Notamacropus eugenii: one gene and its partner. The protein of the gene in region 1 purifies or fractionates together with the protein of each later gene. This does not show direct contact. Links are inferred from orthologs where the notes say so. Each region holds a gene or a part of one and is shown on either strand. Other genes may lie near its edges.

Region 1 (15,270 bases):
CCCACATGTAGTGTCCTACATCCCCAGGCCCATCTAATGGCCAGCCCCGTCTTCCCCCTTCCTCTCTAGATGAGGCTCCTTTCTAGACCTGGCAGGGCCTAGCAAACTTCCAAACATGTCATTAACATTCTAGAACGGTACAGTTGCAGAATTCCAAGGCCCTCCCCTTACCTCCTTCTAAAGCCTCCAGGGCATCAGCCATTCCTGCTGCAAACTGTGCAGCATCTTCTTTGCTGCCAAAGTTGAGGCCCCAGACCTGGCGGGCATCCCTCCACTGGTGGAAATTGGGCGTGGCCCGGTTGTACTTAACACCCCGAACAATGGCACAGTTAATAACAACCTGGTGGGGGAGGGATTCAGTTAAGGAGAGACCCAGCTGCTCCCTGAGGGGAGCCCTCATTCTTCTCCAAGGCCCAACTCCCCAGTGGACATTGGGGTATGGGGAGGCCAGGGCCCAAGGAAGTCACCTGTTGATCTGGTTGCATCTTTCGGCCCACGACTCGGAAGGCATTGGTGCTAGGATTGTGGTAGATTTGGACTCTGCTAACGGCCTGCGGCCCAGTTCCAGCCGGTAACCACTTTTTGTTGACATCATCATAAACCATCACCGTGGCCCAGCTGGAGCAGAGCAGGTTCTCACTGAGGGGAAGAAGAAGAGACTCAGTGGCCTGCAAGGGGTGAATCACTGTACAGCAATCCCAGTCCTCTCTCCAAACAGAAGCCCACACAGGATCCCTGAGCTGGGAACCAGACCTGGGAGAAGAGAGCCAGGGAGGCCGAACCCTCCTGAATCTGACTCCATATCCAGAAAATGAAGGCATTGGTTTAGAGATCTCTAAGCATTCCTGAAATCCCTCCATCACAGGAGGTGAGTCCAGAGAGTGGATGAACAGAGAGCTCCATGGCTCTCACTTCATTTCTTAGGGCCTTGTTCTGTGTCATTGAATCATGTCTGGCTCTCCCTGACCCCCTTTGGGGTTCTCTTGGCAAAGATGCTGGAGTAGAGCTCACTTTCTCCACATTATACAACATGGGATCCCTTCTAGTCTGGATGTTCTGATTGGTAAGACATCCTCTACCCCATGCTCCAAAGAGACCCCAATGGAGGACACTCAGGCATCCGGATGACTTAGGGGGAGGATTTTGTTCCCAGCCCCAAAGTCATCCTGGCAAAAGACCCTCCCTTCAGTTTGCATGTCACAAAAAGAAACTACAACTCCCAGAATTCCAGAGCATCATGGAAGATATCTTCTTTTGCCTTAAAGGGATTGATGTCTCTAAGTGTACTCCCTCATCTGCCCTATCCCCCATGACATGGGGAAGTAGGGAGGCAAGAGGAGTTCCGGAGGGAGAGTGATAACGATCTGGGGTGGGGGGTGAGGGAGAACTCTGAGGCTCACCTTTCTGTGTGGTACAGAAAGGTGGCATAAGCCGGAATAATATTCAGAGTCATAAGGAACTTCTCAGAGGGAAAGGAAGCCCCAGGAAGATGAAATAGCCATTCGGTGAAATACCAGCCTCCCCCCATGAGAAGTCCACTTTTTCCACTATTTGTACCCTCTCTGTGCTCACAGGAAGCTGCCTTAGTCCCCTCTTCAGCTCTACAAGCTGAAAAGAGGAGAGACGGGACATCTCCAAAAGGAGTTGATCCCACCACCAGTCCCTGAGTCAGAGTGGGGTGCCCAGAGGCTGCAAACAGATGTCAGAAGGAGCCGGCCCCAGGGCCCCAGATCTGTACTTGAATGCCAGGTGCTCCTTAGACAGGTGAAGCCCCAGGGAAGAAGAGCCACCCCCACCAGAAAGCCCAGCTGCTTCCAGTCAGGAGCCTTTGTGTGGCCTGAGGGGTTGGCCCTCACCCCCACTGTCAGCTAGTGCCAGCACAGAGAGGGCTGATTGGAGGGTAGGGCCTGGCAGGCTGCCCACACCTGGAGCCCACGCCCACTGCCTGCTGGGGTAAAGGCAGGTCGTAGCACAACACAGGCACCACCCTGCTCTCTGCCCTTCGCCCCTTTTTCCTCAAGGAGGGGTACACACATTGGAAGCCCCACCCTGTTCCAGCTTCAGCCTCAGGACTCCTGCTGTTTTTAAGTTCCTTCCCAGCTGACATGCTCAGTTCTGAGCTCCCTCCCATTCCCTATTCTAAGATCTCTCCCATCTCTGACACTGTGTTCCAAGTTCCCTTTCAATCCTGACATGTGTTCTAAAGTTCCTCTCAACCCTGACACTCTATGTTCTGAGTTCTCTCCCATCTCTGACATTATGTTCTAAGCTCCCTTTCAAACCTGACATGTGTTCTAAAGTCTCACCTCTGACATTCCATATTCTAAGGTCCCTCCTAATCCTAGCCCATGCTAAGGGCTCTCCCAGCTCTGACATTCTGTAGTTCAATAATAATGACAGCGTATATCTCTTGAGCATTTTAGGGTTTACAAAGCACTTGCTTCACAACATCCCAGGTGAAGCATGTAGCATCTATCTCATTAGCCCCATTTTACAGGGAAGGAAACAGATCCCTAGAGCTGTAGCACCTCTCAAAGTACGTATGATGGTAGATCAGATCTTTAGAGCTGGATGGTACCTCAAGGATCCAGTTCACCCCCTTGCTTCAGGATGCGGCACTGAGGCCCAGAGAAAAAGGCCAAAGTCATACTATAAAGTCAGGGGCAGAAATTGGATACTTGAACCCACTCTAGGATCATTCTCTTTCCATTGGCTCCAATACATCAAGCAATCCTTCTGATTCATCCCTCCCTTTCTTCCTGCGGCTAGTCCCCTTAACCCCCCAAACTAATGCAAGAGGGTCCTGGTAGGTCTCTTTGCTTCCCCTCCCTCCCCTTGAACCTCCCTCAGAATGCACATCTAGTCTTTTTTCAAGCATTGATCAGGTCCTGTCATTCTTGTGCCTTAAAATCTTTGGTCTGCAGAATCAAGTCCAGTCTCCAGTGACTGGCATTGGAAGCTCTCCACCCTCTGGCACTCCCCTGTGCTCCCAGTTCCATCTCAGATTACTTCCCTCTATGCACTCCATAGAATGCCATATTGATCCACCCTGTCTCAGGAACACACCCTATGCTCTCCTAGAACTGCCAGTGCAGGCTGTTCTCCAGGCTAGGAATGCCTTCCCTCAACCTTTCAGTCCCAAATCCGATGGCATTTCCTCCAGTTTTCCTCATCCCCCTGGTTGGTAATGACCTTCCCCCTCAGGCCTCACCTAGCCCTCCTCTCTTTCCTCTCCTCTCCTCTCTTTCTCTCTCCTCTCTCCCTCCCTCCCTCCCCCCCTTCTTTTCCAATATGTTTACCATGTAATGTTGTATGGTATAGTTATCTATTACCCCAATAGACTATAAGCTCCACCAGGGCAGGAAGTGGCAGGGATTATCTAAACTTTGTGTGTCTTCTACAGCGAGGCACAGGAGTGTTATACATGCAGAACATTTAATAAATGTTTGTGGAATAAAAGAGCTAGGTGTTAAGAGACTTGGGTTCTAACCCTAGATTTCTAGGACTCACTGTCTCTCTGGACCTCAGGTTCTCCATTCGTACAAGGGGAGTAGGTTTAGAATCCAATTTAGAAGACTCCATCTTCTTCATTTGACCCAAAGAGATGAGATGACTTCTCCAGGGTCATGCAGGCAATAAGTGGCAGATTTGCACCCAGGTCCTTTGACTCTTTTTGTCCAACACTACCTCTCTGAGACTTGCTGGTCTTTAAAGAGCCTAGGATTTGAGGATAACTAGACAACTTCAGCCACCAATTTTTCACTTGTAAAATGACAGAGTTGTACCAAATGAACTCAAAGGTCCTAGCTCTCAAGTCTAGATCTTCTCCCCCTCTCCTTCTCTCTCCATCCCTTCCTCTGTCCTTTTATTTTCCTCCCTCCCTCCCTCTCTTTCTCCCTTTCCTGCTCTTTGTTCTCCTTCCTTCTTCCCTTTCTCTTCCCCCTCTTTCTTCTCCTCTCTGTCTCCCTTTATTCTTTCTCTCCCTCTTTCTTTTCCTCCCTGCATCTCTCTCCCCTCCTTTTCTCTCTCTGTCTCTCTCTCTCTCCCTCTCCTCCCTTCCCCACCCCTCCCAGTAGCCCAATTGCTGGCTTTGGAGTCAGAAGACCTGGCTAGGTTCTGATGACTACAGTGTGACCCTAGGGTAAGGTCATTTAACCCCTCTGTGCCTCAGTAAAAACCAAGGGGTTAGATTGGCTGGTCTTGGAGATTCCTCCCAGCTCTGGGTCTGTAATCCCTCTCCTAGTACTTTGTCTTATTATACAGAAGTCCTTCCCATTTGGAGGTAGAAGTGTCCAAGGAGAAGGTAGCTGATCACCTGGACAGATCACGCTGGAGAGGAGATTCCTATATGAGGACCAAGTTTGAACTAGATGAGCCCCACATCCTGAGAGGTGAAGAATTAGAATCCAACATTCAGTATGACTGGGGGGCTCATAGACATAGAAAATCAAAGAGGAGGAAATTCCCCAATGCCTGAATGCCCCACTCCCTGGTAACTACCCTGTAGGCTCCAGTGTCTGTGACCTGGAGGAAGCCAGCCAGTAGGCACTCAAGCTGGACTGAGAAACAAACCCTGTGACTTTCCATCCTGTTACCCGCCCCCTCAAATAACCCCCAGGAAGTTGGAGGCCCTTAGCCACGCCCAGTTTCTTGAGGTAACAGCAGCTACAATTTCCCCAGGGCCCTGTTTTACTGGGTGCTTTCCTCACCAGGACCCCAGTGAATCTAGTGGATTAATTACCCTTGTTTTACAGATGAGGAAAGTGAGACCCACAGAGGTTAAGCCACTTGCCCAAGGTCACAGGGCTATTGTGGCTGGGATTTCAACCCAGGCCTATCAAAACCAAGTTCTAAAGTGTTCTTTCCACTTGGCTCTCCCACTGAGGTGAAAAGGATCCTGGAAATCTAGGGAAGACCCTAGGTAGGGAGGAAGGGAGAATATGGATAAGACAGGTCTCTGTGCATCACAGCATCACAGGCTTCAAAGCAGTAAGGAACTTTAGAGGTCATTTGGGCCAATTCCCCTCTTTACAGATGTGAGGAAGCAAGAAACAGCGACTCTCTGAGGTGGCAGATGTCACAGACTCTCTGTGTCCTGGACTCCTTGACACCAAGTGGCCTCTCTCTAATCTTTATTAGCTTGGTTTCAAGCTTTATCTCTGCTTGTGGCTTCCTGTGTAGCTTGGGGCAAGTCCCTGGGCCTCAGTTTGTACGTCTGCAAAGTGGTGTTGGGAATAGGTCTGCGTGCTGTTACTCTCTAAGGCTCCTGAGCTATACCTTCAATTTTCAGGCCTTGGATTGAGGGGAGGGAGAAGTCAAGCTAGAGAAGCAGGGTGAAAGGGGGAGAGCAGCTTTAGCCCTGGCCTTTTACGGTCTCTGGGAGCTAGGGTTGGCGGGGGTGGGGGGTGGGGGGGGCTGCGGGGAGGCGGGGACTCGGACGTCCGCCTTCTCCTCAATCCTCTCCACCTCTTGTACCAGGGACCGGAAAAGGGGGGAGGAGGAGGGACCTGGGGCAGGAGGTAGGGCGGAGAATGGAAAGGGGAGGGGTCCCGTGCTCCTCCCCTGACTCCCATGAAGGAAGGAAGGCTGAATGGAGACTTATAAGGAGCCAGGACCGAACTCTAAAAGGCGGAGGGGGGAAGGGGAAATGTTTCTGTCTTATTGGTGCTGAGAGGGGGAGCTGGCCAGTTAGAAACACTAATCTCACCCATAGGCTCCCGGGGAGGGGGGTCATTCGGAATCCCCTTACATACTGTTGCCCCAGGGTCTTAACCCCCAACTTTCCCTGGGTATCTCTTCCTCTTCTCCCTGGGATCTAGAAGTTGGGGCTAGGGATGGAGAGGTGATCGGACCTTTAAAATGTTTCGCATTTGAGCCTCTGAACCATAGAATATAAGACTTTAGAACAAACGGGAGATCAGGTTGATAGAACGTGACAGCTAGAACGCTTAGAACATTCCACGAAGTCTTTCCTGCCGCCGATTCCCCCCATATCCCCACGCCTCAGCTGACCCCCCCTTTCAACCCCCTTAGCCCGGAAAAGTGGTGAAACCGAAGGAAATTGGTATCATAGTCAAACTGTCCCACTACCCCACAGACTTCCGGCCACCGCTGGGGAGTGGGGGGAATGGGAGGGAGGAAATTCCCTTTCCATCCCTTCCCTGTCTCCAGATTAACCCTACAGCCTCAGGAAATTAATAGGAGGTTAATGAATTAAATTGCAGCAGAGCTGGTGTGGTGGGACTGTGGCCTGGCAGGAGTTAAAGTCACTTGGAGCTAAATTCTGGGGTTTGAACCCCAGTTTCGGCAGAAGGGGGTAGGGTGGGGGCTGTCCGGAAATCCCAGGGCTGGAAAAGCGATAGCATTGTAGCAGCGGCTCCCAGGGGATTGGAAAAGGACTCGTTCCTCAACATCTCTCTCCCTAGCTCAGGTATCTGTCTTCTCGGTACTCCAGGAGGGTGGTCCTCTCATAAGCAAGTTATAAGTCGAGAGGTTTCTTTTGCGAGGGGCCTGTCACTTTATTTTCCCTCTCATACATAACACATCTATGAAAACCCCTAGCATCTAGATCCCCTGTGGGTGTGCAGCTCTCCCCTCCCCCCAACCAGGTGCCCTCTCCCTTCCCCGTTCACCCCACCCCCCCAACAAGGAACATGGGTTAAGAATCCCTCCCTCTTGGACAGGTGAGTCCCAGGAGACAAAAGCCGCCTCTGCCCCTCCTCCATCTCTCCAGCAGTTGGTTTCCTTCCCAGGGGAATCTGGGGGAGGGGTCAGGGGTGGAGACTCTGGGGAAAGGCTGATTACCCCTCTGGATAACTTCCCTAACACCCCCTCCCCTCAAGATATAGCGGAAGGGGAATGTAAACAAGAGACCTCTTCCCTCCGGGAAACTCAGTTGTGTGTGTGGGGAGAGTCGGGGGTGGAGACAGGTAATGCTTCACCCCAGCTCTAAGGGTCTATCTAAGCCTTCTCTAAGCAGGAGGGACGGCTAAGAATTAAGAGCTTCAACAGCCCTGATGTGAGGACTCAAGGATCAAACCCCAGAAAAGTTAGGGCTCAGCGTCCCTGGAGGCAGGGCAGAGAGACTTTCCAGTACATAAATAAGGACTCGTCGGCAAACTGAGGACTATAGAGCGTGAAGGGGTTTGGTTTCCAAAGGTCAAAGGGGTGGTTGGACCTCTCATCCTTCCTTTCCCCCAGTGCATCTCATTCTCTTCACAGGCTTACAGGCGGGGCGAGGTTTTGGAAACCCCACATTTGGGGTGGGGGGAGTATAGTTAGAGACTGACCCGGGTCGACTCTAGAATCGGAGGGGAGGCAAGAGAGCATCATTCACCGCCCAGGTTTGGGGGGGGGGGTGTATAAGGTGTCAGCTTCGTTTTGAAGGGGCCCAAGACAAAACTTGCTGCCTCTCAAAAAGCCAAACCAGACCAAAGCAAAAACCACTGTGTGGTTAACGGATCTCGGAACTCCTGGAAACAGGACAGTGGAAGAAACAATCGGAACCTCACAGAAGAAAGCCTGGCACGGGAAGGGGCAACGGTCTGGTCATCATCCTTCCTTTTCCCAAGGAGTCCCTGGACACCACACCCCTCTCCCCTCCCCCGCCTAGTCTCCAGAACGGTAGGGTTCAGGGGGAGTCCTTTCAAAAGTTGTGGAGGGCTGGTTAAGGGGGATCCCCAAAAATACTTCTTGTAGCGAAGGGGAAAAGAGGTCCGCCCCTCGCCTCCCCTTCCCTTCCTTTCCCAGAGCCCTGGGTTCCCCCAACCTTCTCTCTCCCTCCCTGTAACCAGCCACAGGGTTACGCTGAGGAGGCGGCCTCCCTGGATCCCGGCAGCGTCCCCAGGCCCAAAGCACCCTCCCCACCAAAGTCTCCCGGCTTCCAGACCCCGCCCTAGTATCTCTCACCTCATGGCGGGGCTCTCGAGGGGCGGTCTGGGCCGCACTGGGCTCCCGGGCTCCGGGGTACACCCGGAGGCTCCGGGGAAGGGGCAGGGCAGGGGGGCCCGGAGCTCTGGTCAGATCTGGGGCCGGACCCGCCCCGTGGAGGGCTGTAGCTTCCTCCTCGAGGGGGAGGGGGAGGGGGCAATGGGGGGGCGGGGACTCGGTCTGGGTCCCGCCCCCTTCTTAGTTGGGGGTGCTCGGGCCCTCCCCCTGCCCCCGCCCCCTGCCTTGTGCTGCCCCTCCCGGTCAGATGCGCCCGCCTGGCCAACGCAGCCGCTGCTGCAGCTGCCCGCTGCTAGAACGTTACGCTTTTTCTCCTGTGGTTACATTTCATTCCAAGATTCCAACCTGCTTCCTCAACTACCCCCCTTTTTCCCCCCCCAGCCCATTCCGCTCCGCACAGTCGGGGCGCCCACAATGCCTCGCGCCTTAAAGGTTCCGGCCGTCCGGTAGCCCGGCCCGCTGCCCCTTGCACTTCTCCTTGGTGGCTCCCCATCCACACCGGTCAATCTCCCTTCCCCACACTTTTTTTGGGTATGGGTGCCCGGGGGGGTCCAGAGATCAATCAACTGTAGATAGATCCACTCCCCCATCCCCCTCCCTCCCTTCCCTTCACCTGACCTGAGCCAGCCCCGCCCCCACTCCTCTGGGGAAGGTGAGGAGGAGGAAGTAGGTGTGGACCGGGATGACTAAGAGACAGACTGAGAGACAAGCGAGGGCGAAGAAGGGCGGGACGCCGGGGTTCCATCTTCAGCCCTTCCCCCCATCCAGTGTGCCTCGGTTTCCCCCTCTACCCTTGTTAAATACACAAACTGCCAGTTAGAAGACGAAAAAGAAGTAGTGAGTTTGCGTTCATTCCCTCCTGCTCTGGCCTGCTGGGAGTTCCCTGGGGGTTCGGAGTTCCCCATCTTTATAAAGACTGAGTGCAGAGGACTCTGGGAGAAAAGTCTCGAATTGTCAGGCGGAAGGTTTGGGTTCTATCGCCGATGCACTAGATGACTTCAAGCAGTTCCCTGCCCCTCTCTGGACCTCAGGATCATCTCTTCGTGAGCAAAATCAGTCAGGTCACGAGCATTTATTCAGCACCTACTGTGTGCCAGGCACTGAGTCAGTGCTTTAAGCTGGTGACCTCCCCCATCATTCCATAGTCCATATTTTAAGAGCCCTTCCAGGTCTGTCCCGAGTTCTTAGCCAGGAGATCATGAGAGTGAGCAGTGGACACCCTCAAAGCTCAAGAAAGGAAAACTTTCCCAAAGTAATGAATGACCTCAGGGATGAAGCTACTGACCTCCCCAAACCCTTCTTCCATAGAACCTCTTCCAGCTCCCCCTTTTCCCAGGAACTTAGAGTGCCCACTATGTTCAAGATCCTATATTGGACCCTAAGGATATATACATCTCCTGTGCTTCAATACCTCAAGGGATATGGTTTCACCCCTGCAAGTCCTTGCTCCAGGTACACAGCTCACAATCCTCTCCATAGTGAGGACTGTTTTCCTGACCTTGTGGCTGAGGTGGTCATGAATCTCTCCAAACTGACCTACTCTGGTCCTCAGGCAGCAGGCCTCTTCATTCCCTTTTCCACTTTTTACCGGGTAGGAAACTCTCTGACCAGAATGCAGTTTCCTTATGATGACCCCAGAACTTAGCACAGTCCCTGGACTTTAGGAGACATTTACTGAATACCTCTTCATGCCAGAGATCTGTTTCCTTTGGTCCACAAGTTTCTGCTAGCTGATCATTCTGTAGAGTGCTGAGTGGGCATTTGGGGAATATTGAATGCTGTCTTCTCTCTAAGGGGAAGGGGGGTGGGTAGGCAGGGATTTAAACATTTATCATGCCTAGCACTGTACTAAGTGCTTTGCAGATGTCTCATTTGATCCTCACAAGAACCCTGTGAGGTGGAGGCTGTTATTATCTTCATTTTACAGTTGAGGAAACTGAGGCAAACTGAAGTTAAGGATTAAGTGGCTGGCCCAGAGTCATGTAGCTAGTTAGATAGATTTGATCTCATCTTTCTGACTTCAGATCCAGTGATCTATCTACTCTAATATCTAGCTGCCTCTCTAAGATAGAGAAGTCAAGATTCTAATCCTAGCTATGACCCTAACTTGCTGCATGACCTTTAGTAAATCTTTTCCCCTCTCTGGACTCTAAGAAAACCAAAATTCTTCACCTGATTCTGAGTCCTAGGATTCCCTCCCCTGTACCTTTTTAAAGGGTTCACATTTCTCCTCCTTTCAAATGTTCTAACTTCAGGGGAACTTGAAAAAGGGGAAGTCCCCTCCTTATCCTTAATCATATTTATTTCCACAAGACTGGTCAGTCTCATGGTGGGGGGAGGTGGGTAGCTAAGTAAGTTTTCCTCTGCTCCAGTCCTCAGCAGTCAGGGAGCCTAGGGAAGAGTCACTCCCTTATAAACATTTATTAAGTACCTAAGTGCTGGGAAGACAGAAAGGGAAAAGAGACTTTTCTCAAGGAGTTCACAGTCTAAGGTGGTTAACAGCAAGATTCTGCTTCAGGGCTGCTGACCTTGGTTATGAAGAAACTTAGGGCTTTCTCTTCCCTTCCAGGATCACGTTGTTCCAGGCCAAGGGGCTCTGGGGGAGGGTGGGAAAGGGAAGACTGGAGGTAGAAGGAACCTCTGAAGTGTCCAAATGTGAACACTTCCTCATTTAGGCTTTGCACATAGGAAGTGGTCAATAAAAATTTCTTGGCCAACTTTCTACTGTCCTAAAATTCTATGCCTCTGAGATCTTATGAATCTATCAATCTAAGGTCCTAAAGTCTAAGATTCTGTTCAATTAAACAAACACTAAGTGCCCACTATGTTCCAGACCAAGGGGCTCTGAGGGAATTACAACTTCATGGATTCAAACATTTCAAGGGAGGTAATTTTAGCACTGTGAGTCCTAGCTCTAGGCACACAGCTCATAAACCCCTCTATATAACTTCAGTAGAGTCATCCTCATCACTTTGTGGTCAAGCTGCTAATGAACCTCTCTAAATTGAGCTAGGCTTGACAAAGGCAGGAAATAGGGGCTACATTAATTGACTCGGACAACAGAACTTCAATCTATGATCTACACACAACACTATTCAACCTTTCCAGCTTGGTAGAGAATTCTAGAGACCAAGTGCCTTCAAAAACCCAGAGGAACCTACATGCCATGATGGGCCATCAGAGGCAGACTGGAGTGTAAATCTCACCTCCAAACCCTACTAGCCTTGTGATCTTGGGGCAACTACTTGATCTCTCTTTGTCTTGGTTTCATTTGGATGATGGGTTAGACTGGGTGACTTCTAAAGTTCCTTCCAGCTCTAAATCTATGATACTATGATTTAAAAAAAAATGAAATGATTCACTTCCTACCCTCAAAGAGTTTACTTACATTCTAATATGTGATAGAAGTAAGAATCAGAAGGTAGGGCGTGTTGTGAGATCAATGGAAAGAAAACGACAAAATAGGAAGATGATACAAGGAATCGGAATACTTTCAGCTGGGGAGAACTGAGATCATGGAAGCCTTTTAGAGGAAGTATTATCTGAGGGGAGTCATGGTAAGTCTCAGGTAAACATAAAGGCTTAAAATTCTATTTTGACTTAAGAAAGTACAGTTCTAAGAGTCTCTGACTTAAAGAGTCTATTATTCTAGCTGAATAAGATTCTGACTCAGAATCAACCTTTCTCCTGGAGTCAAAGATCTAGAGGCAGAAGGGACCTCAGAAGCCATTTAGCTCACTCTCTCATTTTACAAATGGAGGAACTGAGACTTAAGGAGGTGAAATGATTTGTATAAGATGTACAGGGGCAGGATTTGAAGGTGGGTCATGTGACTCCCAATTCAGGGCTTTTTAGCATATTGACTCCCTCACAACATGATCAGAGACCTCCCGCTGGACCTCACCTAGAACTTTGTCCTTTTCTCCTGCGTTTATCAGGCGGTGTTGAAGATTAAAGTTATCTCCCTAGTAAACAGTAAGCTCCGTTAAGGCAGGGACCTGGATCTTATTTGAACGTGATATTTTCCCTAGCGCCTAGTGCAATTCCCTGGGCATCCTATTAGGCCCCGAATAAAAGTTTAACCAATGAATGAAAGTGTGTAAGCTCCCCCTGGCGGCTCACTCTGGTTCACACCACATTCAGTCTTCCCAGGCTTCCCAAGCTGGTGCTCGATGCCACGCCTCTCGAGATCCCCGAGCCCCTCCCACACCCAGAATGGTGAGTTTCAGAAGGCTTAGGAGCTGGCAAAACTTCTCTCCAGTTGTGTCCTCCGCCCTTCTGTCAGGATCCCCTCCCCTCCCTGAGCCTCTCCTCCTCCCACCTAGTCCAGCCCTAGCACGGTTTCCTAGTATTTTTTTCCCATTTTCTCCCTAGTTTGGCTTCAGGCTCCTCCAGTGCACGCCCCTAGGCAGGCCCCCCCTCCCTCCCCGGCTTATGCTCCACCCCCTCAGGGCCCGCCCCTTCCCCCACCCCTTCCAGACTCGCGCAGGCTCCTTATTTTCCCCAGTCCCCTCGCCCGTCTGTAAACTCGCGCAGGCGCGCTTGCTCACGCCCCCCAGCCCAAGCCCCGCCTCCGGCCCGGGGCTCGTGCTGCAGTCCCCCCACCCCCTTCTCTTCGCTCCCCTCGGTCCCAGCTCGGGGCCCCGCCCGCCCAGACCCCGAGGAGAGGGAGGGAGGGAGGCGGCGACGGTCTGCGGATGGCGGCGGCTGGGGCGGTGCCGGGGCGATGAGCACGAGGGGCCCCGGGCCCTGGGCGGCGCGGCCGGAGCGGGCCCGGGCGGGGCCATGGGCCAGGTGCTGCCAGTCTTCGCCCACTGCAGTGAGTCCCCCCAGTCCCTGGGGTAGGGGTGCCAATTCTAGAAGGGAGGGGATTCCCGGGGTTGATGGGGTAAGGACAAAGAAAGAATCCCCATCCCACAGCCAACTAATGTAGCTCTCCATGGGCCTCAGTTTCCCCCCTTTGTCAAATGAAAGGATTAGACTCGATGATCTCTAAGCGCCTTCCATTTTTAAACAGAACGGGCTATTGAGAGCCAGGCCCAGCCAGTAGAACGGAAAGGGACCGAGGGAGACCTGGCGAGACCCGGAGCTGTCCCCGAGCCGTGGTGCTGATCCTAGGGAAAGGCCTAGGATAAATGGGGGAGGGGAAGACTGCCATTCCCCGCCCCATCCCTCCCCCTTCTCCCTTTCCCAGGACTCCCTGGGACTAATCCCGGGCCACCGTCTCTAAGGGGCAGTCTCCTCCGCCCACACCTTTCCAGCTTTAGACAAGTGCAAGCATACACACACATACACACACACACACACACACACACACACACACACACACACACACACACATCAACACCGCCTCCCCTCGTCTTTCCTGATAGATTTGGAATTAATTTTTCTAGTATAGAGAAGGAAGTGTCAGATGCTTCCCACCTCTATCCCCTTTGCCAGTACAGAGACATCCAACGAACTGGATTCTGGTCCGGGATCAGTCTTTCCTTAAGAGTGCAACCTTGGGCAAACCTTCCTATGTAGGATTCCGTCTCCCGTCTATAAAATTGGAGAGGATCAGACGGTATCTAAAGTCCTTAACTATTCTGACATTCTGCTTTCTAGTCTCACTTCTGCACAAGGATTCTTAAAGGCTAAGATGCTGTGATTCTAAGGTTCTCAAAGTTTAAAATTCCCGAAGTCTAAATTTCTACAACTTTACAATTCTAAGACTCTAAAATTCCAAAATTCCAATCGTCCAGGACTGAATTTTGTGATTCTAAGTGTTTAAGATTTCCAGGCTGTGTCTAAGACTCTATTTCTTTCTTAGAAGAAGCACCATCCACTGCCTCCTCCACTCCTGACTCCACAGATGGTAAGTAGAGTCGACCTTCATTTCCTTTATGGCAAGGGCATTTCTGGGGTGCTAAATGAAGTGGGGAGTGCAAAAAGCTGCGAGGAAAAGTCGGTGACTCATGGTAAGCTCATACTTTCTAAGGAGAAATGAGAAGGAACCGCTGAGAAGGTACTGCTGGGGTGTGTGGGGAAAATAAAGTCAGCCATTTAGTAACAGTGCGGAGAAGACAAAGCAGGAGCTACTAAGAAGAAATCCCAACTCTGGTAGTAACCTGTTTTGAACTTGGGGAAGGAAACAGAGTCTCAGTTGCCTCACCTGTAAAAATGAAGAAGTGGGATTAGGTGATTTGTAAATTCCATTCCTTATCTAAAATCCTGTGAGCATGGGGGGATCTTCTGAGAGGAATCTGGAGTTTAGAGATGGTGGGTGACTGGCGCTAAGGGAACAGCGTCCTTCCAGGTGGCAATGACGATTCGGATTTCCGGGAGCTACACACTGCTCGTGAGTTCTCTGAGGAGGAAGAGGAGGAGACGACGTCGCAGGACTGGGGGACCCCCCGAGAGCTGACCTTCTCCTACATCGCCTTCGAAGCTGGGGGCAACCGTCGCGACTCCGTCCATCGCCGGCCTCGCCCTTCTGGCCGCTCTGAACCCCGTGAACCCGGTCCATCGGGTCTGGGAGACAGCTTGGAGAGCATCCCCAGCCTGAGCCAGTCTCCGGAGCCTGGACGACGGGCTGCCCAGGAAGGCCCTCCTCAGGCCGAACTGCAGCTCCGCCTGGACCAGCTGGCCTGGGAGTCGGGGCTGGCGGCTTCGGAGGACTCGGCCAGCAGCCCTTCAGAAGAGGAGGAAGAGGGCGAGGAGGAGGGCGGACCAGAGCCCAGACTGGATGGGGAAGGTATGCCGGAAGGGCACAATTGAGGAGGACGTTTAAGGTTTAGCTGAAGGTGGTTCGGGGTAAGATAGGGGAGAGGGGGCAGAAGCATGGATTCTTAGGAATTATTAGATTCTTGGAGAAGAGCGTGACTGAATCTAGGAAGGGAGGGGTCCCGAACACAGGGCAATCTTGGTGGGGGCGGGAGGTGCACCCTAAGGGGAAGCTCATAGCTTCCTTTCTCTCCTTTTTTGCCTCGAAGACTCGGAAGTGCCATGCCTCCCAGCTGACCCCTCGCTGCCTGAGGTCGGTTGGTCACATCTCAGCCCACGTCCAGGAATTTCAGCCCTCCATACCCACACCCCTTCCCCGCCTCTTTCACTGGGGTCTCGGGACTCTAACTCTTGGCGAGAGGAGGAAGATCCGGAAGAGGAGGGGGAGGTGTGGGGAGCAGTTCAGCGGGAGCCAATCACCGGGCAGCGCTTGGACAGCTCGGACCAATCAGGGATCACTCTAGAAATTCAGGTCCTAGGTAAGTATTTGCCTTTAACATCTGGTTGGTCCTGGGGAGGCGGGATTTAGAGACCTCGTCTTCCTGGAAGAAACAATGG
Region 2 (15,841 bases), on another chromosome or scaffold:
TATCCTCTGGAAGTTTGGATCAAGGGGGTAAGAAGGGCTAGGTGAACAGTAAGCTTAGTGATATAATGGGAAAAGGACTGCAACTCTACTGAAAAGTTCTAGTTTAGAAACCTGAATTTGTTACTTTGCACCTGTGACATTGGGCAAATCACTTCTGTGACTCAGTATTCTCATCTGTAAAGTGAAAGGGTTAGACTAGGTCAGGGGTTCTTAACTTGGGGTTCATGAATTTTTTTCTCATATTTTGATGACTTTACCATTGAATCTTTTTGTAATTTTATGCATTTCATTTTATTCATTTTAAAAACATTGTTCTGAGAAGGCTTCACCAGACTTTCAAAAGATCCGAGACACAAAATTAAGCCCTAAAATACGTGATCAACAAGGTGCTTTTCCATATTTTATAGTTAGAACTATATAGCAGCATATCAGAACTTTATGGCGGAATATATTTAATTGGTGCTAGATTGGAGAGATTGATGGTTTGTATGTGGGAGAGGGAAGAGAGTTTATAACTGAAGATTACTTCCTATGAGAGTGAATAGTATTTCAAGGTAAATATCCTGAGCAAAAGCTTATCTTGAAGAAAGCTTGGAGTCAGATGGTTGTGAAGCGTGGAGAGCAGGGTACACTAGAGGCTAAAGTGGGAGAAGAAAGTAGTTGTTAGGGGAGAGGGTTCTCAACTGTGGAGGAATCTTACTGGAGAGTTTGGGATCATTATTCTAAAGAAACTTTGGTTTAGAATTGGATGTTTCTAATTAACTTGTGTCTCTTGCTGCCTGGAGGAGATAAAGGGTAGGGATTTTTGGATCCATGGAGGCAGGAAGAGCACCTAATCTTATTCCCTCCCCCCAGGGGTTCCTAGTTGAGGCTCATCCTGCCAATGCCTGTAGTCCTATCAATCCTCCACCTCTTGCTCCTGCCAATGGTTCTGCCTTTATTGCCCTGCTTCGGAGATTTGACTGCAACTTTGATCTCAAGGTGGGGAATGGGAATGGGGATTGTGGAAGGAATTTAGAGTGATTGGGTGGTTGTTACCGTGACTCCCCTTCATCCTCTCAGGTTCTAAATGCCCAAAAGGCTGGGTACAGAGCAGCTATAGTCTACAATGTGAATTCCAATGAACTTTTGAACATGGTGTGGAATAGTGGTAAGAGTTGGGTACCTGAGCACCCAAGTCCTTGGGGTGGGGGGAGGTGAGAGGAGGTGGGGATGCCTGAGTCCCTGGTATGACAGTCCCATTCCTGCAGAGGAAATTCAGCAGCAGATCTGGATCCCATCAGTGTTTGTGGGAGAGACAAGCTCAGAGTACCTGCGCTCCCTCTATGTCTACGACAAGGGGTATGATTTGTCTTCCCTGTCCTCAATCCTGATTCATATCTGGTGTGTTCCTAATCTCCTTTTCCCACCCGATCTTTTCATTCACTATTTTCCTCTCCACCTTGTGTCTCTCCTTCCCCCCCCCCCATAATTATTCTTTTATCTCAGTCTGGCATACCATGTGAGTCACAAAACTTTGCTAGGAAGGGCACAGGACTCATGAGTTTGCTTAAGCTCTATGGCTGTAGCATGTCTGTCTGAGCCTGTTTCCTCATTTGTAAAATAGAAGTAGGCAACTTGTATTGCCTATGCCACGGGTTTGTTGTGAGGAAGTTTTGTAAACCATAAAGTGTTAGAGAAATATGAGCTTTTGTGCTTGAGTTTTTATTTCCCTTCCTTTTCCCATGCCTCCAGTCCTTGAATGCCCCTTATTGCTGGGCTCTCTGACCCCTCCCTCCCTTTGTCCCTTCCTAGGGCCCGAGTCTTGCTGGTCCCAGACAACACCTTCCCTCTAGGCTATTACCTCATTCCCTTCACTGGGGTTGTGGGCCTGCTGGTTCTGGCCATGGGGGCTGTGCTGGTGAGTTAACTTTGGGCAAGGTCTGTTTTTCCAGGGGTTTGGGAAAGAGGCATAGTTTGGGAAATCACACCAACTCCATGAGGGGAGAGGAAGACTGGATCGAACTGGTCCAGCTTTTTTAATGTTCCCAGGTTGGGTTCCTCTCCTTTGTTCTGCCAGGTAGCGTCTCTCCTCTCCCCCGCCAGGTAGTTCGATGCATACAGCACCGGAAGCGGCTCCAAAGGAACCGACTGAGCAAAGAGCAGCTGAAACAGATTCCCACCCATAACTATCAGAAGGGTGAGGCAGGGTTCCGGGATGACCTTCCATACAGGCAGGAGGCAGGGGTGGGCAGGTCCAAACACTATCAAGTTCTGGGTCTCAGTGTCAGGAAATAAGAGATGAAAGGCAAGAAAGGCTCCATAGATCAGAGTAAGGGTGAAAGAGAGAAGGGGAAAAAGCAAGAAAAACGCAAATCCTCAGGCCTAGTGTCCATATAAGGCTAGAGCTGAGGCCTGGCCCTTCCTTCCCCATTTCTGCTCATCTTCCCTCCTCCAAACCACTTCCCCTCACCTCTACCCCTTGCAGGCTTGATCCCTTCGTTCCCATCACTTCTTGCTCTCCTATCATATTCGTTTGTTTTCTGCATTGGGTTGTACCATTGACTTTGGACAAATCTTTTTCTCTTTCCTGGCCTCTAGTTTCCATATTTGTTTTTTAAAAAAGTGATTAGGATTGGAAGGTAGAGAGACCAGGTAGATTGAGTTGGATTAAGTTGAATTAAGCAACACATTGCAGGGACTTTTTACTCTTGAATTTGTATAGCTGGATTTAGTTACAGAAAACACTTAAAACAGAGATCCTTAACCTGGCGTTTTAAAGGATATTTTGATAACTTTTTCAACACAATTGGTTTCATATGTACTTTTATGCAAACGCACAAAACATTCTAAGAATGGAAGGAGACTCATAACACAAAAGAGCTTAATAACCCTTAAACTAGAATCAGGTTTGTGATAGGCTGAGTAGGGGCCTTCATCTCATTCTTCTAACTAGGTGATGAATACGATGTCTGTGCCATCTGCCTGGAAGAATATGAGGATGGGGACAAGCTGAGGATACTACCCTGTGCTCATGGTGAGGAATCCTCTGCTCCCAAGGGTGCCATTCCCCTATTTCCCCTTCTTATATGACCCATTTCTGTCTTGGTCTTTTCCTAGCCTATCATAGCCACTGTGTGGACCCCTGGCTCACCCAAACCCGGAAGACTTGCCCAATATGCAAGCAGCCAGTTCACCAAGAACCTGGGGAAGAAGAGCAGGAAGCAGAGGAAGATGGGGACAGTGGGAACCCAGTCTCTGAGCGGACCCCCCTCCTAGGCCCCTCTACCACCCTCCCACCCTCCTTTGGTGCCCTCTCTCCTACCCTTCCTGAAGAACCTTCTGCCTCCCCATCCTCCTCGGCTCTCCTAGTCTGACCTGAATTCACACCTTCCTGAGGATTTCCTGGGCTAGGGCCAGGTCCTTCCCCTTCTACATCTGAAGATTTTCACTATTGGGTTAATAAAATTGCTTTGTTTCTGGACCAGGGGTGGGGTCTTTCTTGGGACCCCTTCCCCCACAAAAATCTCGTCTAGTTGTTTTTCTTGAGTGGAGGGGAGAATGGCAGGCAGGCAGAAATGACAAGTAGCCTTCCATGGCTATTGATCACTAGGAGGCTCCAGTCTTCTACAAGGGGGAAGAGGCACCCAACCCTTTGGAGAAGTTTTCAAACAGCTAAGACTTGGAACCTCCCAGGACTGCAGAGGCACATTCCTGAACAGTTTTGTTTTTCCCTGGAGCCTACAAATGGCAGTGCCAGCTCTTGGAATTCTCCCTGTCTTGGCAGATCCCAGTCCTCATCACACACATCTTTATTAGTAGAATCTTTTATTCATATTCCAATATAAGTTTCCAGAAAAAAAACCAACAAAATTTTTTTCAAAAAAAAAAAAAAAAGTCTTCCCAACTACACACAGGAAGGAGGTTCAAAAGGAAAGGGGGGGGCACCTGTCCATCCAACCTGGACCCCCCCAGGTGTAGTTTTGGCAGCAACAAGTGGGTGGGGGGAATGGCCCAAAAAAACAATGGTGAGGGAAATGGTGCAGAAGCCTGGGGAAGAAGGGGGGGGGCAAGGAGGGTCAGTATTGAGAGCGTCGAAGGTGAGAAGCCATTTCATAACACTTCTTGTTGATCATTCCCCCGTGGATACCTTCCTTCCCCATCAGCAGGACTAGCGCTAAGAACAGAAGAAAAGGAAGATTTGAGTACTCCCACCACCTGGAACCAAGTATTCCCAAGCAATGTCCCTTGTAACATCTCACACTATGCTAGGTGGGAAAATAGGAGATGAAAAAGCTAAGGAAGTGAAATACTCTCATCAGAAAAAGAAATCTCAGTCAGTATTTATCTAACAATATACTTTAAACACACCACCTGCATTAAACATTTTGCCTTCAAGATTAAGGACTAAAGGAGTCACAACTTACTCTTGGCAGTCATGGTAACAGTGAGGTTGAAGGTGGGAGCACCCCCAGTGCTCTTTGTACGAAGGTCCATGGTGTACTCTCCATCTATTAGCAGCGAATCCCTGATCACCGAACATTTCTGGCCCCCAAGTGTCAGCCCATTTACGAAGAAAGTTGAACGGTCTTTGCCAACCAATACAGCTACTTCAGCTGGCTATAGCATGGAAGAAGGAAGGCACGTATGGAAGTGAAGTTAAAAACCTAAGAACTGTGGCTTTCTCCCATTCCTCCCCCTGCCCATTTGTGTGGGTAATTCTTTCAAGTAAGTTTGGGTCTGAATTTAAACGGATTTTAAACGTATTATTTCTTAAGAACTTATTTCAATGACCCCTCTTCACCATTCTCCCCCAAAGAGTTAAAAGATTAGGAGAGTCAGCTCAAAATTCACTATAAAATTGTTCAGACGAAAAGCAGGAGAGCCAAGAGTCAGTGAAAGATGAGGGTATATCAAAGCACATGGCTTTTTCCCCTCAGGAAAGCAGAAGCAGAGGAGGAGGGGCCGGGGATGGAACAAAGCTGCTATGCCCTTATTTGGGCAAAGACTCAGCCAAGCTCAGAGTGGGGGCCCTGGATTCCTGGGTCTGAGAACATTAGTTGGTGGTTTGGGGCCCAGATGACAACTAGGGTGGGAGCCCAACGAATCCCGCAACTCTACTGCAATCAGAAAACTTTTTTTTGGTAGTGGTGGTGCCAATCCCATGGAGGTGGTAGACCTCTCACATCAAAAAGAACTTCAAGCACCCTCTCTCCCCTATACATCCCCCACACCCCACCAACCCCACATCCGGCCACTGAGCTCCCGGAAATCCCCACTTCAAACTTCCGCTCCCCCTCCCCACTTCCGGGCAAACTAAACTGGGGAGAGAGCCCTCTGACCTTTATGACTCCCTATTCCATCCCCCCACCTCCAGCCAAACTTCCCCAAAACTTCCTTGTCCAACCCCACTCCAGACGTTAAAACCGAACGGGGGAAGTGGAGATGAATTCCTTCACGGAAATTTACCCACGGACCCCAAAGGAGCAGGGCCATGGGGAACTATGGGGGCCGAGGGGAAGCTGGTAAGGTGGTGCTGGGAGTGGCCATGCCCTGGGAGAAGAGGGCCGGGCCGGGAGCAGCCCTGAGGCACCAAGAAGCTCCAGGAGCCCGGGCTTCCTTCTCTTCCTCCCCCCCGGGGGGCGAACAATGGTGGAACGAGTGGGGGCACGTAAGCATGCAACCGGAAGTGGAGGGGCGCCCCGCCATCCCCTTAAAAAAAGGTTAAGGGGGAAATCTCCCATCCACCCCGCCCCGCCCTGAGGGAGGCGGAAGTGTCCGATGAACCGGGCGGCTGGCGCCCCTCCCCGCCCTGTGCCCCGGATGTAACGCCCTCCCTCAGAACCGTGGTGGTGCTGGAACGACCATGGAGCGGGAGTCCCAGGAATTTGGGGAAAAAACGGTCAAGGGGGGAGGGCGGGCTTGCAATGCAACCTGAGAATCCATGTAAAGGCCTCGGCGCAGAAAGTCAAAGGAAAATGTGGTGATGGGTGAAAGCCAGGCCTTGGAGAAGAGGGAAGATGGGAAACCACTTCTCTGCCCCTCGTCCCGTTAGCCCAGCGCCAGCGTCTCCCGCGCGGCACCCAGGCGTCCCCACAACTACCCAGATTCACTCACACCCTCTCAGCGCCCAGCCTGGCCGACATTTCTCGGCCAAACCGACCCTCCGGCCCCCCATCGGTCCGGCTGTTCCGCTCCTCACCCTCAGCTGCCCCATCCCCCCACCAGCCCTGAAATTAAAAACACAAAAAACAAACAAAAAACCCGGCCGAACCTCCAAATGCACCACGAAACGAACGTTTTCCCCCCCAACAGCCTCCAGGCCCCAGCTCGCTCCCTTTCCGTATACCGTGATATTGGCGAAGGTTTTCCCGGGGACGGCGGCCCAGACCGAGGGCGAGTCCTTATAGCCGACTATGGCCGCGTCCTGACAGGTCCCGTCCGCCATGAGGTTGTCGATGTAGGCGTTCCAACCGGCCATAGCGCTGGCGGTCTGGCTCTGCTGCTACTGCGGGCAGGGGGTGGCGGAGAGCTCGGAACACGCGCTGCCGTCCAGACTCGCAGCTCCGTTCTCTCTGCTGCCTTTAGCTCTGCTTCCTGCTCGTCCCGCTGCTCCTCCTCCCCCCTCCCCCCTCCTTTTTTTTTTTTTTTGCAAACGACAGTGGAGGCGGGGCCGCCTCTTCTTCCCCCTCCCCCTCGCGAGCAAAAACTTCGCAAATAACAATTTTTAAAATTCCCCCCCTCCTTCCCCCCTTCTCAGTAGCCAAATTTGCTGAGTGCAATGAAAGGGCCTCTGGGCGGGAGCGGGCGTCGGGTTAGGGTTAGGCGGTTAGTGGCATTTTAGGGGACAAATCAAACTCCGGTAGGGGACGAGGACGGTGAAAACGGGGACTAGGCAAGCCCCAAATGATGCAAATCGAGGGAAGGCCTGGCACGAACCGGGTTAAATTTTTAACACTTTTTCTGCCCCAGCCCCCATCGCATGCGCTCGAAGGCCCGGGAAGAGCCGGAACTTAGGGAGGGCTGGGCGAGGCGGGCAGGGATGGAAGCAAAAGTCTCCTCCCCAGCGGGCAGTAAAGGGGTGGGGCTCGTGGAAGTGGAAATTGGGGGTCGCCGCTGCGCCTGCGCGGGCTTACGCAGGCTCGGGTTTTTTTTTTTAACCGGGGAGGGAAGGAAACGTGTCTCGTCCCGGGTTCCCCGCTCCCTTCTCCCGCCAGTGCAGTCTTTTATTTTCTCTCAAGGCGGAGGGAAAGTGGAGGGAGAGGAAGGCTTACTAGGCTCCTCCACTGCCCCTTTGGGAACATGTGCACTTCCCCACCGCGAGCAGGCTGCACCCGCTCTCCCGTCTCTATATCCCTCCGCTTTCGGCGGGACGAGAGCCCCACCCAGAGCTCCCCTTCCCTTCCCCTGCCGCCGGCTTGGAGGCTGAGCGGGCCGGCCGAGACCGGAGGAAGCCCCAGGCGGGGAGGGACGAGCCGCGAGGGCGTGGGGGAAGATGGGGGACGGGACGAGAGGCTAGAGCACGCTGGAGGAGCGAGGACCGGGGAAGCTTTTTTTTCTCTCCAAACTTTTTGCCGGGACACGAAGCGGTTTGCCAGCTTCCGGGCGCGCTGGGCACGAGGCGGGGCAGGGCGGGGCCCAGGCGATCCGGATTGCTGGGGCTGACGGAGCGAGCCCCCCCTTCCCCATATTCCCCCGCCCCAGCTAGGGGCTTGGCCGCTTCCGGTCGGCTTGCTCCCACTGAATTTCCAGAATCCCACCGGGTCTCTGCAGTCCGGTGGGACCCAGGTGTCCGTGCCCGTGTCCGACGCCGCCCGGACTCCTGCCCAGGGCGGTGCCGGATTCTAGGGCTCGTGGCAGGCCGTCGTCTCCACGGATGGCCTGACCTCTGCCCCCCACCCCGGTCCGCACTCCCCGAAGGGCGGGGCAGCCCCTGATTCTGGAAGATAAGCGTGGGGGAGGGAGGGGCACGGATGAGATAAAGTGAGGTCTGCTTTGGGCATAGATGGCCATGGGACTGTGGGCAGAGAATCCCGAGACCTGAGTGAGTCAGACAGACTGATTGGAGGCGCACGCCCGGGCTGGGAGGGTGGTGAGTCACGGAGTGAGGCTCCCAGGCGCCTGGGGAGAAGGAGCTCTCGTCTGGGATTAGACACTAGGACTCCCAGCCGGGAACGTTTGCTTTTCTGCAAACGCACTTCGCTCCTCCGGAGACAGGGAGGGAGCACGGAGGAAAACCCAGGGGCAAAGTCTCGTTAAGAGAAACCAGAGGAGGCTGAGCCTCAAGATTTAAGGCCTGAGAAATACACAGAAACACTCCCAGAGGTGCGAAGGTAGAATGAGGGACTCGGGCACGGCAGGCAGGACTTGGGAGACGGGAGGATACAAACGATGCACGTAGAAGCAAACGCCCAGCGAAGGGAGGAGAGGCAGAAACTAACTCGGAGACCACGAGACAGTTACAAAGTTTCGTGCAGAAGCAGGCATCAGGACAGACTGACGTAGGGAGGCAGAAACGAACAGATTGGGAAACAAACATGGGGAGACGACTCAAGAATACAAACAGCCTTGGAAATGGGCAAAGGGGAGCGGATAAGATACTTAGACATAAAAATACTCAGATACCCAAAAATAAACTGACAAGAATAGATGTGTGTATGACCATAACTTTAGAGGCAGACGGGAATTAGAAACTGAGGTCTACCAGACTTGCCCAGGGTCACACACACACAAAATGGCAGAATGAGGACTCAATCGGGTCCTTGGACACAAATTCAGAACTACTGAATGTACCAGGATAGAAAGAAACTCGAGACAGATTCAGTGAACCGCAACAAAACAAGCAGATTTCAAATTATGCAGTCTTGATTTTGGAAAAAACTTAAAAGGTCATGTAAGCCCGACTTCCCAATGTAGGAATCTAGGGGCATCACTGACAGGTGTTCAGTAAGACTGTATTTGAACTAAACATTGAGTGAAAGAAAAAGACATTGGGGGAACTTCAGATGGACACAGATACTAAGGGACAGAGAGATGAGGAGACAGAGGGTCAGATTCAGGCAGAGAAAGACGTTCAGAAACAGGCTCAACTACAAAAAAAAAGAGAAAAGGAAAAAAGTAGAGCAAAAAGAGACTAATCTTAGAGGGACACAGATAAACCCAGAGACAAGATTCCAACGGAGATACAAGGAGACAGAATAGACACAGAGAAAGAGACAGGAAGACTGAGGCCCACAAAGGTCTGTGTTTAAGTTTGCACACTGTGTAGGAGGTACAGGGCTCCTCTCCTTGGAGGGAGGAGGGAGCAGCAGCTTTAAGAAACCTGAGAGTGGTGGTAGAAACTTTGAGCCAAACCCTGATCCCTCCCAATTTCTCCTTAAGACCCAAAGCCTCACTGCTGACAGTGCCTCCTTACCAGGAGGTATGAGGATGGGTGTAGTCTCCCCTCCCCCAAGACCCTCTTGCAGTCTATGCATGAAGGGGCAGAGGCTCAGGTTACCCGTCCGCCCTTTCCTAAAGGTCCCTCTTTAACCTTTGCTGCTGGAAATTGAATCCAGGCAATGGGTAAGGGAAAGACTTAATAGCTGCGCCCCCCCCCTCCCCAGCTGAGCCCCCTTTGTGGGTGGTGAAATTAAGGGGGGGTGTATGACTTTTTTGGGGAGGGCACAGCCTTAGGAGGGGGGAGGAGTGTCTTAGGGACCATGAATTTGCCTTTGGTGGGCAACTGTTGATAGTCAGTGAGCTGGGGAGGGGTAGGCAGGGGAGGGGCTGGGCAGAGGGGCGGGGTCAGTAATAAATGCCAGGCTTAGGAGTGATAGCCCGACACTATCCCAGCAGCAGTCCATACCCCCAGACCTTGTCCAAGGAACTCCAGCTGTGGTGAGACCTCTCAGGCCTGATTCTAGAGGGGTAGGGCAGGGGCACGGATGATTCTTTCCTCCACCCGCTACACTAAGTTGTAATTCTCAGCCACAGGTTGGGGAGAGACTGGAGAATGAGAAGGTTGGAGGGGATGGAGAGGTAGCTGAATGGGGGAGAGGATGGGGTAGAGCCTAAAGGAAGACACAAGGATTTGGGGAGAAAGGGACAAAGAGGAAAGGGAGATGGTACGGTAAGGTAGAGGCACAGCCAGGATTTGCGAATGATGGGGAGGAATGTGGGGAGTAGGGTAAGTGGTGGGGTAAGGGAGCAATAGGATGGAGAGGGGCAAAACAAGACTGGGGGAGAGGAAGAATATGGAGATGTGGTATAGGGAACAGATTAAAACAGGGATGGTACTGGGGGACTGGAGGTAGGAATGCTGTAGGGTGGCAAGGTAATCAGAGTGAAATGAAGGGAAAGAGGAGAGTCTGAGAAGGTTGGGGGGAAATAAAAGCAATTGGGGGCATTAAAAGGGAAAAAAAAAGATTTTCTAGCATAAGATGGGGGGATGGGAGGAGTTCTGAGTAGGGAAAGGGAGTTGGGCCTCTCTGGTCTGACCTTTCTCTGGGCTATTTTTAGTACCAGCACCTGCCTTCCTGGCTTGAGGAAAGACTTTAAAGGGCATGGGAGGTTTTGGGGGTGTCTTTTTCGGTTCTTTAAAAGCTTCCCCACTGACAAAGTCCGCAGCCATGGCAATGCAGAAGATTTTTGCAAGAGAAATCCTAGATTCTAGGGGGAACCCCACAGTGGAGGTGGATCTCCACACAGCCAAAGGTGAGGAGGGAGCCTGCATGTCTTCAGATGTATCTCCAAACACACCTCTTCCTCACTTCTCCCCTCCTCTACAGCTCTTCTTGGATTCCATAATCCATACATCCATGTTACCCCTTCCTCATATATTCCAGGCCGAACTAATTTGAGTCCCCTAATCATCCAAACCCTGGTTCCTCCCAGACTACTTCTCAGCTAACCACTTCTCCAGGCCCCAGGACTCAAAAACAAAGTCTCTTTATCCCTTGGTTTCTGTTTTGGGACCCTAGGAACCTGGGGTTTCTCCCACTTGGGCTGTGAGAGGGGAGTAGTCTCAATTCATTTCTACCCCTTACTCTTCAGGCCGATTCAGAGCTGCTGTACCCAGTGGAGCCTCCACTGGGATTTATGAAGCTCTGGAGCTGAGAGATGGAGACAAAAGCAGATACCTGGGGAAAGGTGAGATATCACTTTAAAGAGAATGTATTTGTTTGGGGAGAAGTGGGAGGGTGGGCAGAGTATTGGATCGCATAGATGGAGAGTGTTGGTGAACCTGGGATCTCTTTAGTATAGGAAGTCAGAACTTATTGATCCCTAACCTCTGCTCTCTTCCCTAGGGGTGCTGAAGGCTGTGGAACACATCAATAAGACTTTGGCTCCTGCTTTACTGGAAAAGGTAATAGTCAAGGGAATGGCCAGAAATTCCTCAAATCTGTCCCCTCTACTCCTGGTACTTTTCCCCTTTCCCCCCCTCTTCTCCCCATAGCCATTAATTTTATGACCTGAGCCTCTTAGGTCCTTGCCTAAGTCTCTGTAAGATGATCCTACCACAGTCAGTCTCTTGTATGTCTTTTTTTTTTTTGTCTTCACTCATCTAGAAATTGAGTGTTGTGGATCAAGAAAAAGTCGATAAATTCATGATTGAACTTGATGGGACAGAGAATAAATGTGAGTGAGGGGATTTCAAGGGAGAGAGGACCAGAGAATAACCCCATTCCCAATGGGAGAGGGGGCTGGAAGGGAGAAGTTTCTCACTCTATGTGAAGAAGTCTCTCATATCATTGGTTTCTCTACAGCCAAGTTTGGGGCCAATGCCATCCTGGGTGTGTCTCTGGCTGTGTGTAAGGCAGGAGCAGCAGAGAAGGGGGTCCCCCTCTACAGACACATTGCGGACCTCGCTGGGAATCCAGACCTTGTGCTGCCAGTACCGGTTAGCTTTTCTTAACCCTGGGACTCGATCACATTCCTTTGAACTTGGCCTTAAGACAGAGGATGCCCCCCTTTTTCAAGAATAAAAACTCTTTAGGAAGTCTAGATGCTAATTCACTGCCCAGAGAGATCACTTCCTAAAGTATAGCCTCCTTGTGTGTTTGTAGCTCAGAATCCTATCCTCTCTTTTCTAAGATAAGTGCCTGAAAATGTCTTTCCTTAACTCTCATCCTACTCTCTACAATGCTTTATGTAGTCTGGACCACTTACATCTCAATAGCAGTCTAACTTCAAATCAACAAGCATTTATTAAATTCCTATCATGTACAAGGCACTGTACCAAGCACTGAAGATACAAAAATGAAATAGGGCACAATCCTGTCATCAATGATTTTACAGGATAATAGGGAGGAAGCCATGTAAACTACAAATAGGAATAATATAAGGTAGAATGTCAGGCAGGAAAATTGTTCCTTCCAGCAAAGAGTAGTAGCTGTGTTATCAGGTATATATCCATTCTTGGAGGAAGTAGTACCTGAGCTTAGTAAAGGTATTTCCTTCCAAGGAAGAGAATTTCCTTCCAGCTCTAAATTTATAATCTTTATTTCAACAGGTAAAAATGTGGAAAGAATGTATGAAAAAGTGGGGGTAGGGAGAAAACAGGTGACCAAGATATTGGACTGCAATACAGACTGAACAAAGCAGTTGGAGTGAAATATCATGTGCCCAAAACTATGAGAAATGTTATTTCACAGACTGTTTGGTCATCACATTTTGTAGTACTAATGTAAGATAAGACTAGAAATATGTTGAAGCTGGATGGTAAACAGCCTTAAATGAAACGTACAGAGTTTATACTCTATAAAATAGGATAGTGGGCCACTGAAGACTTCTGAGGAGACTTTTGCCTCACGATTTTAGAAGTTGTGTGAAGGAAGCACCAAGAAAACTGCAGATTATTGAATTTGGAGTTGAAAAAGGAATGGTGGGGTGGATGAAGGGAGAGGAGAGACGGGGCTGAGAGGCGAGTGAAAGTCTGAGAAAAAGGGAATAAACAAAGGGGAGTGGCATGAGAGGGATGGACTTAGGAGCTGTGGTAGAAGTAGAATCAACTAGAATCAGTCTTATTTTTCCCCATTTGTGCAAAGGGACTGTCTGCCATTTTAAGAGTAGAGGTAATATCTTAAAGAGTTTTCTCCTGAATCACTGAACTCAATTCCTCCCTTGGAAGTCTTTTGAATCTAATGTCCAGCCTTCCCTCTATAGCTCAAGTCTATCCTCATGCTACAGTCCTAGTCTTATCTCACTCCTTCTCTGTGGTCAAAATCTGAATCTCCCTCCACTTAATTTCACCCAGGCCTTCAATGTAATCAATGGGGGATCCCATGCTGGAAACAAGTTGGCCATGCAGGAATTCATGATCCTGCCCGTGGGGGCTGCATCGTTCAGAGAGGCAATGCGTATAGGGGCTGAAGTCTACCACCATCTAAAGGGTGTCATCAAGTCTAAGTATGGAAAGGATGCCACAAATGTAGGCGATGAGGGTGGGTTTGCCCCCAACATCTTGGAGAACAATGAAGGTCAGTCAGTGGGATGAAAAGGAGGGGTCCATAAAGGGAATAAGGGCTAGAGGGGAAAATGGGGTATTACTCCTTTAATTTCTCCTTTACCCCCAGCCTTGGAGTTGCTGAAAACAGCCATCCAGGCAGCTGGTTACCCAGACAAGGTGGTGATTGGCATGGACGTTGCTGCCTCTGAGTTCTACAAAAATGGGAAATATGATCTTGACTTCAAATCCCCTGATGATCCTGCCCGGCACATCTCTGGGGAGAAACTAGGGGAGCTATATAAGAGCTTCATCAAGAATTACCCTGGTGAGAGATGCAAGGACCCCATCCTCCCTTCCCCCTTATAGAACTCCCTAATTTATTCTACTGTATTTTCTTTGATCTTAGTGATCTCTCTTCCTGCTACACTTAATAATAATAGCTCCTATATGTTTAGTGAAATAAGGCTTACAAAGAGCTTTTTTTCCAACACTCATTTTCAAATGAGGAAACACTGTCAGAAATTATTAAATTGAGAGTTAAAGGGGAGACGTGGGAGGGTGGGCAGAGTTTAACATCTAGTTAGTTTAACATCTCTTTTTTACCGAAAAGGAAACAAGCTTAGAAAGGTCAAATGATTTGCCCAGGGTTACTCCCATATTGAGAAGCAGAGCTAGTGTTCCCAGCGTAGGTCCTGCCCCTTGTTTGAACATACACAGGGTTAGAGCTGTGACTGAAATTAAGGGTCCCTGACAGCAGGTCCACTGTTTTTCCCACTCCATCATAGCACCTCTCTCTATTCTCATTCTAACCCACTCCCGATGATCTCCTTCATTCCTCACACAGTGGTTTCCATTGAGGACCCCTTTGACCAAGATGACTGGGCCACCTGGACTAAATTTCTTTCTGGAGTTGACATCCAAATTGTGGGTGATGACCTCACTGTCACTAACCCCAAGCGTATTGCCCAGGCTGTAGAAAAGCGAGCCTGTAACTGCCTCTTGCTAAAAGTCAACCAGATTGGTTCTGTCACTGAATCCATCCAGGCGTGAGTCCCCAGTGGGTGAGATGGAGGGAGGTGGGAATCACTCCATGCTCTAGAAATTCACCCATGAATTAGTTATTCTCCTACATACATATCCCTGGTCTAATCTTCCTCTATCCAGAAGCCTCACCAAGAAAATTCAAGGTAAAAAAATTTTCACTTCCTCCTCTTCCCCAAAAGGTCAGCAATCATTCACCATTACTCTTTCACCCCTATCAAGAATTCAGATACATGTTTTATGTACACATGATCCTTTCCCCCAACCAAGTTTTTTGAACACATTGTAAGTACTTTAAAAATGGTTGTAGCATGCATGGATGAATGAATTGGGTTCAAACCAAAGGGATCATGCGATCACAGACCTAAGAGCTGGAAGAGATCTCAAGCTATCTAGTCCAGTTCCCCCTTTATAGAGATGAGAAAATTCATCTGTAAGGAGGTTGAGACTTGCCCAGGGTCTTCTGGATAGGAGGTGTTAGAACCCAAGTCCTCTGACCTCTTTCCACTGTAATGAGCCTAGACCCTTCTCTCTGTAGTTGCAAACTGGCACAGACTAATGGCTGGGGAGTGATGGTCAGCCACCGATCTGGAGAAACAGAAGACACCTTCATAGCTGATCTGGTAGTAGGACTTTGCACTGGCCAGGTAGGGAACAGGATATCTCCTCATCTGTGGCCATCAGAGCCAAGTCTTCTGGAGGTTCTCACCCATCCCTGAATTTCCTCTTTCTCAATCTGACCCCAGTCACTGGATTGTGACACTTCTTCTTTTGACTCTGTAACTTTCCTCCTGTCTCTCATTATATTAGATCAAGACTGGCGCCCCCTGCCGTTCTGAGCGTCTGGCTAAATACAACCAGCTCATGAGGTACTTCAATGCTGCAGGGGGTGAGGGGAGGTTGGAGGTGTCCAAGGGAAAAGTGAGGTAGAGGTAGAACAGGAAGTGGCCATTTTCACTGCTGTTTCTTTCCCTGCCTAGAATTGAGGAGGCTCTTGGAGACAAGGCTGTCTTTGCTGGGCGGAAGTTCCGTAACCCCAAGGCCAAGTAAATTGAAGGAGCCAAGTGTTAGATCAACAGAGACATCTGAGTCCATCACCATCTCTACCACTTCTCTCAATAAAGCACTTTGGACAGCAAGAATGACTAGGGTGTCATGGTTTGGGATCAGAAAAGTACATCCTCATCTCAGGGAGGGGACAGGAGAAGGTGGCATCCATGTTGAAAAGGGAGCAACAGCACCGTGGAATAAAAAGACTAGATTTGTAGGCAGCAGCCTTGAGGGGGGGAGGTCTATATGACCTTTCTCAGCCTGTTTCCTCATTTATAAAATGGAGGTAATAGTATCTGTACCATCCACCTCCTGGGGAGGTTGAAAATCAAATTACATGAC

What was found.
Region 2: the proteins of VASP (region 1) and PFN1 purify together in Homo sapiens (affinity purification with western blotting; 3 studies listed by BioGRID and IntAct, with this or other methods). This does not show direct contact. The link is inferred for Notamacropus eugenii from reciprocal best matches to the Homo sapiens genes VASP and PFN1.

What each region holds. Positions count from the first base shown.
Region 1 is NW_027325105.1:115,334-130,603, reverse strand, and holds the start of VASP (vasodilator-stimulated phosphoprotein), read right to left. Parts: upstream 8,050-15,270; 5' UTR 7,914-8,049; coding exon 7,909-7,913; intron 640-7,908; coding exon 468-639; intron 341-467; coding exon 172-340; intron 1-171. Other genes in the region: RTN2 (reticulon-2), read left to right, coding at 12,733-12,766, 13,760-13,804, 14,246-14,683, 14,922-15,191. UniProt on the Homo sapiens protein: Ena/VASP proteins are actin-associated proteins involved in a range of processes dependent on cytoskeleton remodeling and cell polarity such as axon guidance, lamellipodial and filopodial dynamics, platelet activation and cell migration.
Region 2 is NC_092873.1:79,360,976-79,376,816, forward strand, and holds PFN1 (profilin-1), read right to left. Parts: upstream 7,273-15,841; 5' UTR 6,461-7,272; coding exon 6,329-6,460; intron 4,600-6,328; coding exon 4,407-4,599; intron 4,157-4,406; coding exon 4,059-4,156; 3' UTR 3,791-4,058; downstream 1-3,790. Other genes in the region: E3 ubiquitin-protein ligase RNF167, read left to right, coding at 856-981, 1,063-1,150, 1,251-1,341, 1,795-1,900, 2,086-2,179, 2,936-3,016, 3,100-3,356; ENO3 (beta-enolase), read left to right, coding at 10,524-10,674, 11,014-11,109, 11,268-11,326, 11,529-11,598, 11,727-11,860, 13,217-13,439, 13,536-13,733, 14,253-14,454 and 3 more. UniProt on the Homo sapiens protein: Binds to actin and affects the structure of the cytoskeleton. At high concentrations, profilin prevents the polymerization of actin, whereas it enhances it at low concentrations. By binding to PIP2, it inhibits the formation of IP3 and DG.